Linked DNA regions of Danio rerio. The protein of the gene in region 2 purifies or fractionates together with the protein of the main gene of each other region. This does not show direct contact. Links are inferred from orthologs where the notes say so. Each region holds a gene or a part of one and is shown on either strand. Other genes may lie near its edges. The genes, in order: ss18, smarcc1a and bcl7a.

Region 1 (4,154 bases), on a different chromosome or scaffold from region 2:
CATAAACGCTCATTCAACGCAACTGCAACATACACAGTGACTCTCTAATGTTATTGATATATAGGTACACTATATATTTCAGTTTGCAAGGGCTGCACGATATTAGAAAAGTCAGATAATGCGATATTTTGTTTTGCTGTGATATACATTGCCATAAGAAATATAATTTTACCACATGATTTGAATAACCCATTTCTTAATTTAGATCAACTGGGATTATCAAGTACATCTGCATAAATATAATAAATTACAAGCATATATAATTAATTAAATAAATTAACAAACAGTGCTTTATGGCTTTCTGTGGAGTCAAGCACAGAAATTGAACAGTTATCAAAGGTAAAATAACAACATCTTTGTCTTTTCATCTTCATCTTTAATAAATAATCGAATCCTGCAATGTGACTATTGGGGATGCACACATTGCGATATTGATGCTCAAACGATATATTGTTCACCAATAAATTTATTTATTTAAAATATATATATATATATTTAAATATAAGACACATGTTTTTGGTCATTTATTGGTTTAAACCAAAATGTTTTTCCATGCAAAGCTTTCGTGTGACTTGTTTGTCAGTTTTAGCCAATTTATTTTTGGTACCAATGCTTTATACTATTGCAGACTGAAGGATGATAATTGTATTTATTTTTCTAAATCATTTATTTATATCCAATATGACTTATTTTCCTCAGGGCCGTTATACAAATGCATATACAAATGAATTATAATCATAAAAGAGGGAATTAGTTAAATATTGACTTGAATTAATGACTAAGAATGTCTATGGAGGTAAAGTTGGTTTTATATTCGGATATTCAGACATTCTCCTTGATCTGATTATATAATTTCAGAAAAGTATTCTCTGAAAATTGTAAAAAGGGAAATCAGATTAGCAGCAAATGACTATCAAAGAACAACATTGTTCACAGTGAATTACATAGTGTTAATGTTGTTTAGAAGTCATACATGCGTGCCAATTCCGATCGAATATTTAATGTAACATGGTAAACAATATAGACTTCTAAATGAACGAATGTGCGAATATAAAACCAACTTTACCTCTATAGCATGTCTTATATTATTATAAAAACTGAATATATTTCAGAGTGATTGTATAGTGATGTTAATCTCCAGGACCTGATTGAAAGCTAATTTAAAGAAACAAATTCACCAAAAGAAAAACACCAAAACAACTGCAGCAGAGAATATTATAAATAGCTAAATATTCAAAATAAATAATTTCCACAGAAGCTACGAAACAGTTGTTTAAAAAAAATCATTAATGACAACACTTTTATTATAATAAAATCATGAATAATCGTTATATCTTTGCCATAACAAAAATCTGGTTAATAAACTGTTTAATACTACTTATTATTGTATGCCATGGCGATATATGTTTTTTTCTTTCTTTGGATAAGGACAATATCGAAATATCTATAGTTGAAGTCAGAATTATTAACCCCCCTGAATTGTTAGACCGCTTGTTTGTTTTTTCCCCAATTTCTGTTTAACGGAGATTTTTTCAGCACATTTTTAAACATATTAGTTTTAATAACTTATTTCTAATAATAGATTTATTTTATCTTTGCCATGATGACAGTAAATAATATTTTACTAGATATTTTTCAAGACACTTCTATAAAGCTTAAAGTGACATTTAAAGGCTTAACGAGGTTAATTAGTGTAACTAGGCAGGTTAGGGTAATAAGTTATTGTATAATGATGGTTTGTTCTTTAGACTTTCGAAAGAAAATATAGCTTAATGGGGTTAACGTTAATAATTTTACCCCTAATATGGTGTTTAAAAAATGGCTTTTATTCTAGCCGAAATAAAACAAATAAGACTTTTTCCAGAAGAAAAAACATTTTCAGACAAACTGTAAAAAATTTCCTTGCTCTGTTGAACTTCATTTAGGAAATATTTAAAGAAGAAAAACATTAAAATGGGGGCTAATAATTCTGACTTCTACTGTATATCTCCATCAGACCTGAGTAACAGAAATCACTAAACAAATCAACAAATCTAATTAAAACTTATGCATTAACCTTGAATAATTTTATAAGACATCAGGAATGAAAAATCTGCTAACTTACACATCTAACGTGTCAAAAATAACGTTTGGCTTGTCGAATAAGACATGACTGAAAATGACCAAATCAGACATTGTTCATCAATAAATCAGATATTAGCATAACGTTACACGCTAGTTCGTAACGAAATGAATTTCATCACAAAATCAAATATAAATCGACGATATCTTTAAAAATAAATCGACGACAGTGTTATTGTCAAGTGAACATGTACGTTGTGATGCTTGTACACAATCCTCCATTGTGATTCATCAGACAGCCGAGTAGTAACGTTAGCGGCTAACAAAGACACAGCAGAACCGAGCAGATTTCAACAGCTTTAAAAACCCCGGACCAAAAAACACAAAATCAGCCCATTTTACGCTGGTATTCGGTTATGTAGGAGCTGTTAAATACGACGACAAATGTCACCTTATAAGCGTCTTGTTGGTGATGTTATGCTAGTGTTGGCGGGAGAGATGTTGCAGCTAACTAGCCTAACGCAAATTTTCCGTTTCCAGTTTTCGCTCGGCTTGACGAACTAATAAATGAGGTTACCTTCTGTATCCCGGCAGGCGTTATATCGCCCTTGGCACGCTGCCGGTGCGGTGCAAAAGCCACAGACATTGCTTGTTTCTGGTTAATTCAGATTACCGCTACGGTGGACACAAACACACTGACCGAGAACAAACGCGCTGAGCTGCGAAATCAGAATCAACCAACGCGCACGGAGCACACAGGGGAGCCTCGCATACACCAAATCACACTCAAGACAAGAAATAAAGAAGACCTGCTGGTAGCAAAATGTCTGTTTACATATTTAAACTCTGTTATTAATCATTACACAGTGTGAATGGGCGCAGTGTCCAGATTAATATAATTTATAAGAGCTACAAATCCAAAGCACACCTCTTTTTCTTAAAAATGGTTTGCCCCTAAGGGTCAGAGAAGGGGGAATTCCAAACAGCAGCATTTTGTGCACTGAGTACGTGCGCGTTTCCGTTGCACATGCAATGCGCAAAACGCCGTCGTGTGTGGAGTGTGCACATATGTTATACTTTAATTGACTTGCTATATTCATATGCGCAAAAAATTGAAGCAAATTTAGGAAATACCAAAACGCCATTTTCATATGCGCAAGTACTTGCATTTAATTTAAATTCAATAAATTATGCAATATATTATGACGAGCGGAATGAAAATCACTGCTTTACAACATGATCCGCTTTAAATGGCTGCTTCAGCATCCTAAATATTTAAATTAATATCTTCTTTAGTATTTACCTGCATCTAAATTGTAAGACTAAATGTAATAGCCAATTCAAAAGCATGTTGCAGATGCAGAGCCTGACATATAGGTGGCATTTTTATTTACATTCACAGTTAAGAAAACTATTTGTGCACCATTTGCTATTGTGCACAGTACTGTTATTTAAATGACCGGTCCTTTTGCATTTACAATTGTAAGAGAAAGTCGTTTATTTTCAAGAAAGCTCAACTGTCAGGGTCACACCTATCAGCAGGTGGCAGTATCGCACAGCAGGTAAACATTTTTGGTCTGCAATCTGCATTTGACAAGAGGAAAACAAATTTGCAGCTCAACATTTTGTAATAATAGCTTGCAGCACAACTTTAGATTTAATCTTAAACTGGAAGTATAAATATAAATATAAATATATATATATATATATATATATATATATATATATATATATATATATATATATATATATATATATATATATATAAATATATATATATATATATATATATAAATATATATATATATATATATATATATATATATATATATATATATATATATATATATATATATATATATATATAATCATTAGAATGATTATATATATAGTGTTAGTGTTCCGTCAGCCAATGGTATTTGGAGATCACAAGCTCAATGTGGAATGAGACCTGTAAGATCTCCAGACGTTCTTATGAAATTTATTGTATAACTGACAAGGTAAAAGAAGTAACATTCAAAACTGTACACTGTATATGTCCAGCTAAAGATGTTTTAGACAGATTTAATTTGAACATTGCTTATTCCTGTGAT
Region 2 (4,408 bases):
GGCATCATATCTTTGCATACATGATAGGTGATTGCTTCTGTCATTTCTTTGTGCCGTTTTGATCCTTTCTCATAAGGCACAACGCTTGCAAATGCTTAACCAATGAATACTTGTTCAGTCTGTTTGGGCTGGTTTTGATGTGTGCATTTATTTGTTACGATAGAGTTTGTCGACATGCATTGATCATACAGTTTTTTATGACGCTGTTTTAAGTGTTGGAACAGATTTGTAGGATTGCTCAGTTTTGCCGTAAAAAACGTTTCACAAGTCTTACAAATGACCTTGCTCTGTGACACATTGTCTCTCCTGAATCTTAAATTCTCCCAAACAACTGATGTTGAATTTCTCTTTGGCACCAAATAACTTTTATTCTGACCTGCACCCGTATTTTATGTTCTTTCCTCACGCTCAACTTCGTTGTGTGCGGAGTGAGCTGGTTAACATCTTTCTCCAGCTCAGCTTAGCTGTATTTGCGTGGTGCACAATGTCAGCTGATTGGTTAACATTAAAATCATGCACACAAGAACGTATTCTGTATAAAAATCTAAATAAATTAATAGATTAAAAATTGCATGCGCTTAAATCACGATTTTTTTGTGATTGCGATTAATTGTACAGTCCTAGTTGTGACATTTCAAGTTGTGTTATTCTTTAATAACAAGTCATCAAACATTTGGGTGCTGTGATCTAACTCTTTGTTGTTTCAGGCAAACACAGCTAGTCATCTTTTGTTACCTACAGTTACTGAATGAATTAAAAATTAAACTTTAAGAGAAATCTGGTATTGATATTACTGTGCATTTGTGTCTGTGTTCATCTTTTGCTTTGTTTTGAAGTGGTTGTAATGCAAAAGCTTTATAAGATAAGGAGCTAATATTATTATACTACAGATGACAACACTTACTGAAAGCTAAAACAATACTGCAAATCCAGACTTACAGGTAGTTTGGTGAGGGCAGGATTGCTGACTCTACGTCCAAATGCATCCTCTTGAAACTGCAGCAATTGCACCACCAGTGCAGCCAATGTTTTGCTTGTAGGAGAGTCAGTCTGGACATGCTGCAGAAAAAAACAAGTCCTATTAAACACAAGCAATTCAACTAAGAAACAAAGCATTTGACTTTTCCAGTGAAATCATTACACCTGGAAGTAACAATACATGTAAAACATACTATCTCCAGTCAATACATGCTTCTGCAATTCTTGGATAACACAGTGAAGTAATTAAATGATCTAATGAACAATTATGACTTAAATAAACAAGCATGTTTTAGCTTTAGGTACACATCAAAACTAAATAATTCAACTAAACATAATGCCATTGTAAATCTTTTTTAGTAAAGCATTTAAACAGTGCATCACATAACTGTAGGACAGTTAAATTGAACTCTTCAAATGCGTTCTTTCACATTACAGTAATATCTTGAGCAAATAAATTATAAATAGCATCTATGCAAATTATTTTCTTTGTTCTCTATTTCTAGATTGTGGAGTGCCACTCGATCAGATCAAAGACATGAAAAGAGATGCCAATCCTGTGAGGACTTGAAGAGATGATGCCAACCATCAGAGATCTTCAACGACAACAAAGACTTAAGACACAAGTACACTTCATCGAACATGTATTATTATCATCCTTATTATTAATGTAAATATTGATTATTTTGTAAAAAATAAATCACCATATAACTGCATGTTAACCATGTTTATACACTGCCAACTGTTTACACAACTCATTAACTATTCTGATTTTAACTGTAATGCCTTTTGTGAAGCTACTTTGGGAAGATAATTGTAAGCGCTATACAAGTAATCTTGAATCTAAGTGAACACTGTGTCATTTGTGACAACTTGAATCACCTTGTAAATACCAAGATGAAATACTTTCACAGGTAAATACACAGCTATATATTTATGAGATTTACATAATCACTGTTCCATGGCACTTCTGTTAAAACAATATTAGATAGTTCGCCCAAAATTTATATTCACTCACGCTCAATTGGTTCCAAACCTTTGTAAGTTTCTTCTGCTGAACACCAAAGATGATAATTACTTTTAAGAACCTGTAAGCATTCACTTTCATAGTAGTAAAAACAAATACCATGGAAGTCAATTGTCACAGGTTTTTAGAATTCTTCGAAATATCTTCTTACGTGGTTTACTGAAGAGAGAAAATCATAAAGGTTTGAAACAAGTGGTGAGTAAAGGATGTCAGAATTTTCATTATTGGGTGAACTATCCCTTTAAAGGTTCAGTAAACAAACTTCTGCATAAACAACTGATACATTGTGGTGCTAAATACATTAAGAACGAATGGAAGACACAGTTTTAATAAAGCAAGTACAAATAAGACGAACATAAACACGGCAGTTAAGCAGATTTTAAGACATATCCTCATCATGGCAGATCTCAGTCAGCAACGTTAGCGCGCGAGCTAACTCAACAACCCACAACACTGCCGCTTAAAACAACACAACAGCTAAACTTGCCGACTAAAACGCCAGTACGGATGCTGAACACAATCTGCACGACTGCTCTGGTTCGACCCTGTCAAACAACCGACAATAATTGCGAATAAACAACAAGAAATCGCGCGTGCCGCTTCTTGTAGCTATTGTGTGATGCGCGCGCCCCCATTCAACGGGCGCCTCATGAGCAGCAGACCTTCTTATAATGTTTCCCGATCCACAAGCGAACTGTCTCCAACTGGGACACCGTTTCCGAGCTCTCCCAATACTTGGAAGATGGCCCTCCGTCTTTTTTACGTCCGATCGAGGAACCGGCGCCCGTTTGGCCGGCAGATGGTCCTCCGGAGCCCGTTCCGCCCGCTGCAGTCGCCGCTGTCGCCATTGTTTCTTTATTAGCGATAGAGGCTAGTCCGTGGAAAATGTTTAAAACAGCACTGCGTCTGCGCAACGCCGACACAGGAGTCGTTGCTCGAAGGAGATCTCGCGAGAGCTCATCATTGCGCGTTAGAGACCAGTCGAGACGTAAATAAAAATAAAATAAAAATAAAATAAAATAAAATAAAATAAAATAAAATAAAATAAAATAAAATAAAATAAAATAAAATAAAATAAAATAAATATCCAACTAAAGAATCAAAATAATAAAATATTTAAATAATATGATGATTACTAGTTTAGAGCTGGTTTACACTCTAATGCAGTATGCAATTGTAAGTACGCTTAGGAATCGAATTTACCAAAATCTTACAAATACATGAGATACTTAGATATTTATATTATTTTAAAGAATTTTTTAAGAATTTCAGATGTTTTAGATATTAACGAAAATTGATTGAGTTATTTTTATATTACATTATTTTATATAGTATTATATTTATGCATATAACTAATCCATTTTTATGATTTAAATAAATGATTTAACACAATTCTCGGAAGCTATGGAATTAAAAAAAATTATATATATATATATATATATATATATATATATATATATATATATATATATATATATATATATATATATATATATATATATATATATATATATATAGTATAATATAATAATATAATATTTTTGTACATCATGCAAATAAAAAAGGCAAAATGTAGCATATTTTGTAGCCATGAGAAAGTTTTCATGTGTAATTCCACCGCTGAACATCATAAGTCGCTGTAGACAATGAATTTGTCCTTGGGAAAGACTTTTATGTAGGTCTACTGCTATATTTATTTATTTTCCCTTTTTCTTTCTTATTTTCGCATTTATTACTTTTTTATTACTTTTTAAATAGTTTTTTTTTTTTTTTTTTTTACTTTTTTTACTTTACTTTACTTTACTTTACTTTCATTCTTTCGAGTTAAAAATAACATATATTTTTACAGAAAGAAAAAATTGTGCCATCTAGTGCTTAAACAGGGTTTTACACTTTGAGAGTCTGGATCAGGTCTATGGTCTGGATGCAGACTCTGCAGTTGAAATCTGCAAGGCACACAGCATACAGCAAAGTTGGCCTACATCTTGACCCACATTTAAAATACATTTTTATTCATTTCAAATAAGGAAAACAATTCTACCATTCAGGTTGCTTTGAGAAAAAGCACGCCTTTAGCACACCTAAAACGCAACGATTCATTGATTTATCCATTTCATTGCAGTCATGACACAAAAACACATCTGGCTTAGTTCAAGCTCAGTTATGGGCTATTGACTTGGCTGAGATTTGGCCCAGATATGGTCCGTGTTTGGTCTTTGTCTGGAAGCCAGACTTGGTCCAGTCACCGTAATTTACTGCAGCATGTGGGCCAAGCAAAAGCTGATTGTGTGGGCCAAAGCTGGGCCAAAGAAATTTTGCTTTAAGTGTTGTTTTTTTTTTCACCTCTGTCCCCATTAATTCGTACTAACATTGATTATTGGGATAGTTGGGGAAAAGAGAAAC
Region 3 (4,159 bases), on a different chromosome or scaffold from region 2:
TCCTAACCTGCAAGGATGTTTAAACCTTTAAATCAAAATTTAAAGCAGTCATGTGGGTATGGGTAAAAATAAAGCTTCGTACGTCACTGATCATGTGATTATGGCAAAACAAATTTAACTCCGGTACACTGCTTTACTGCGAGATGTATTATTTTTTGATACATGCTTCGAAGCCTCGGTTCACAACAGCACATCTCTAGCTTTAGGATAAAAGGTTTAGGAACAACTTTACTTTGTTCTATGAAATAAAATATGAATCATGAAATGTAACATTAATCCACAATATAGCTGTTTTGCTGTATTTAGGATTAAACACCTCATTGAGCAATATGGATGTATTTTAAAAACTATTTTAAATCTTATTTTAAAACTGTTGATTTATGAATAAATATGCAAGTGATGCTGTATGTATGTACCTGGGCCGATTTGGAAGAGTCTAAAAAGCTTTCTGAATCCCCCTGTGACTTGCTGTCCCTTTTGCTTGTCATAGACTCCGATGAGCAGTGGTTTTGTTCTGAAAATAATGACAAGGTTTCATTAAAACAAACAAACCAAAAACACAGACAAGTGGATAGTAAGCCTCTAGAGGATTCAATGCACAAACCACTCTTATGATCCTGACCAGATGAAGGCTGTTTGGAAGGATACTGGTCGTTTTTCAAGTCACTGCTGTCATTCTGAGAAGCGGCCATGGGCTCAGGTGCTGGACTAGTGTTGTTGCTGGTTTCCTGCTTCAATGGGGAAGAGTCCGCAATCGAGCTCTGGTTACTGTTGTCATCTGTGGGTAAAAAAATAGAAACAAAAAAAGTTTTAATATCTGAAAATGTCCATGCATTTGTAACTGTTAATAGGTGGTTACAGGTCGGAATAGCATAGCAAATAACCAGTTCACAGAGTAAAACTGTTTCATCAACTCCCTCTATTGGTTAAGAGGAAAAAATGCACATTCAAAGCTGCCATCATTAATAATTATAATAATGATTTTTTTCTAATAAAAAGCAGGTAACACTTCAAAATCTTAGTCATGCATATTAGACCAACTGTTTGAGGATCACAAAGAACACAATTTGAAATTCTCACATAAATTGGTTTAAAGACTACTGCATGTAATACTAATTTGAAAAAGGTAAAACATTGAGATGTGTTTAGGTGTACAGTTTTACCATGCATATCCATCATTCCAGGAGAGGAGCTGTTCTCAGGGGTCGTGACCTCAGAGCCATACTTGTCATCTTTGCCTTTCTTCTTATTTTTGTTCTTCTGTGTGACATAAATACATATTGCAATCAAGGCATATGAAGAAGATAGTAAAATATGTTGTGTCTGTTTTAAATACGACTCATTTTAGTTAACTTATTTTATTTAAAATAAATATGAATTTAATCTCTGTTAAAAACAATAATACTGGTCTGTGTTATGCTACAACTGAAATATGTTTCCCCCTCAACGAATACCACTACTAATTTACCTTTACTAAATTAAAAAAATAATAACTATAGAATTACTCATTAAAAAGTCATTTGCGTCATATTTTACCTTGACTATTTTGTTCCAACTTTCAAATGAATTTGTTGGTTGTGGTCCATAATGTTACAATAATTATTAGGTTATCAAAACTGCAACAGCTGTGCGTTATTGTAAATAAATGTCACTTACATCATCTGACTTGGGCTCCGTCACTGGTACCCACTTGTAGATTCGCAGTGACGTGTCACCAACAGTCACCCATTTCTTCTCCCTGGAGATGCATGTTATTGTTAGATATCAAAGACAAAGGAAACGCCAGACAAATGAGGACAAACCACTAAATCACTTACATTTAGAGGCATAAGAAATCTCAGATGAGCCATTATTTAGGCAAGATGCATTTGCAGAATATGCAACTGAACAAATTATCGATATCAATAGTAAATAATTATTATCATAAAAATAAATACTAATAATAATGCAGTTCACTAGCTCACAGATGTGTACAATTTTAATCGCACGTTGCCACAAAAACACGATTGTTTCTCATTTAACATGTATACTTTTATAGAATAAATATTGTTTTGGTAATTATTGTTAGTCCAACAAATAATTTGTCATGGTTTGAAAACCCTTAATTCAACTTAAACTTAAGTTTAAACGAAATCCCCAGCAGTTGCTTGAAGTGTAAAAAAGTGTATGTGAAACTGCGGCTCAGGGCTGAGTTTAAAACCCCGCGCGTGGATCAAACTCTCCTCACGCGCCGCCGCTCAAAGCGCGACTCTCTCACTTTCAACACGAGATGAACGAGTCAAACGCCCGTTCACCGGCACTTTCTGTTCGGTACGGACGGTTCACTCTAGTTTCCTCATGTCAGCCCGTTCGGTTACTATTCAGCCGGCATTACAGGCTCTAACAGCAAAGCCTTCATGTGACTGCAACGAAATGGCTTCTAGGTTCAACCCACATAAAAATTTAATGGAAGAAAAAACGCGATCTACATTTTCCCAAACTATGTTTTCACACAGCCGACAAAGGAGCAGCCGCGCGCAGAATCGCAGAAACAGTACATCTGAGTGAAATTGGAGTGGAATAAACGCTCTCTTCGCTTTCATTTCATTGTTTCTCGGTGTCTCTCCTCCCCCACAGGCTGTCTGTGCTGTTCGTTAACGGATAGACGCTCTCTCTTACCATTTCCGCACTTTTTCAATTGCAGCCATAACCCGCTTGATGTCATCTTTCGCCCTGCTCCGCGTCTCCGCTCGAACCGACCTGCCCGACATTACTGCTGTTGGTAAAATATCTTTTTGCTCGCTGCCTGTTTAGACACAATGCGAATGCACACAGCACAGGAGAGAGGCGGGGTTTGTGCGCCTGCGCTGAAGCCAAATGCCCTCGAAGCATGAGAGACACGGTCAATGCGGGTACGCGTTTCGCTCCTTTGTTGGCGAACAGAGCAAAGAAAACGATATTTTATCAGATTGCTGAGCTAGACGAGCGAATCGAAACCAGCACCACGACATCAACACACGTTTTATAAATGTATCTGGAAAAAATGGAGACTTCAATCGACAGCATGTTGACAAACGACATGTTTTATTTTCGTATGATTTTATCTCTATGCGAAAGAATTGAACGCAAACATATAACACAACAGCTCGCTAACCACACAATAACAGTCCATCTGTTTTAAAATACATTACTTATTGACAACGCATGAACATAAGCAGGGAAATGTAAATATATTATGACTCCTGTCCGTGGTGTTCTTGATGGAGCTCCTGGGTGGCGACAGAAAAGCCCAATATATCTGAGGCAAATGCGTCCATGGTGATTTCAGCTGGAAGCACACTTTCCAACAGAGACCCTGAAAGGAGAAAGAGTAACGTTTGTTGAGATCAAAAGATTGCTACATTTTGAAAATCATAATGTATTTTAGCCAAATAGTCTTTAACATTGCAGAGGTTATATATGTGAGTGCATTATTAGCAAAGACGCTAATTTGCACATTCACTTGCCTATGATTTAACCCAAAACATAACCAACAATGTAAAGGCAAAACATGTAAGATGAACGTGTAAATGAACATGTTCATTTATTAATTTATTCAATTTTCTTCAGCTTTGTCACTTTATTAATCTGAGGTCGCCACAGCGGAATGAACCATCAACTTATCCAGCATATTTTTAACACAGCGGATCCCTTCTAGCTGCAACCCAGTACTGGGAAACACCCATACAAACTCAGAAACACTCACACAAAAGACAATTAAGCTTACCCAATTCACCTATAGCGCATGTCTTTGGACTGTGGGGGAAACCCACGCCCACACGGGGAGACCATGCAAACTTCAGACAGAAATGCCGACTGACCCAGTTGGCACTCAAACCAGTGACCTTCTTGCTGTGAGGTGAAAGTGCTAACCACTGAGCCACCGTGTCGCCTTTTCATAGTGTTATATATTTTTTATTATTTTCTGGTAATGCTTTCAAAAATGTTTAAGTCCAAAGAAATAAGCAGTTTTAGTGACAAGGACCATGTCCTGTGTTCCCATGCTAATTATGTCAAATACCCTTGACCACCCTTGGTTTGGTTTTATAGAAAACATGTAGTGGGAAACACCAAAGATGTTTAACATGTTTTGTGTTTTGTTAGAGCTCACAAAGCAGCATTATAACAGAACCTTAAAATG

Evidence for each region.
Region 1: the proteins of smarcc1a (region 2) and ss18 purify together in Homo sapiens (affinity purification with mass spectrometry; 4 studies listed by BioGRID and IntAct, counting the BioPlex papers as one, with this or other methods). This does not show direct contact. The link is inferred for Danio rerio from reciprocal best matches to the Homo sapiens genes SMARCC1 and SS18.
Region 3: the proteins of smarcc1a (region 2) and bcl7a purify together in Homo sapiens (affinity purification with mass spectrometry; 4 studies listed by BioGRID and IntAct, counting the BioPlex papers as one, with this or other methods). This does not show direct contact. The link is inferred for Danio rerio from reciprocal best matches to the Homo sapiens genes SMARCC1 and BCL7A.

The regions. Positions count from the first base shown.
Region 1 is NC_133177.1:1,537,937-1,542,090, forward strand, and holds the start of ss18 (protein SSXT), read right to left. Parts: upstream 2,834-4,154; 5' UTR 2,708-2,833; coding exon 2,639-2,707; intron 1-2,638. UniProt on the Homo sapiens protein: Appears to function synergistically with RBM14 as a transcriptional coactivator. Isoform 1 and isoform 2 function in nuclear receptor coactivation. Isoform 1 and isoform 2 function in general transcriptional coactivation.
Region 2 is NC_133191.1:46,885,093-46,889,500, forward strand, and holds the start of smarcc1a (SWI/SNF complex subunit SMARCC1), read right to left. Parts: upstream 2,872-4,408; 5' UTR 2,854-2,871; coding exon 2,668-2,853; intron 1,060-2,667; coding exon 940-1,059; intron 1-939. UniProt on the Homo sapiens protein: Involved in transcriptional activation and repression of select genes by chromatin remodeling (alteration of DNA-nucleosome topology).
Region 3 is NC_133180.1:42,613,740-42,617,898, reverse strand, and holds the start of bcl7a (B-cell CLL/lymphoma 7 protein family member A), read right to left. Parts: upstream 2,816-4,159; 5' UTR 2,751-2,815; coding exon 2,659-2,750; exon of another isoform or gene 1,820-2,658; coding exon of another isoform or gene 1,818-1,819; intron 1,739-1,817; coding exon 1,657-1,738; intron 1,261-1,656; coding exon 1,164-1,260; intron 779-1,163; coding exon 623-778; coding exon of another isoform or gene 605-622; intron 515-604; coding exon 417-514; intron 1-416. Other genes in the region: cfap251 (cilia- and flagella-associated protein 251), read right to left, coding at 3,213-3,334.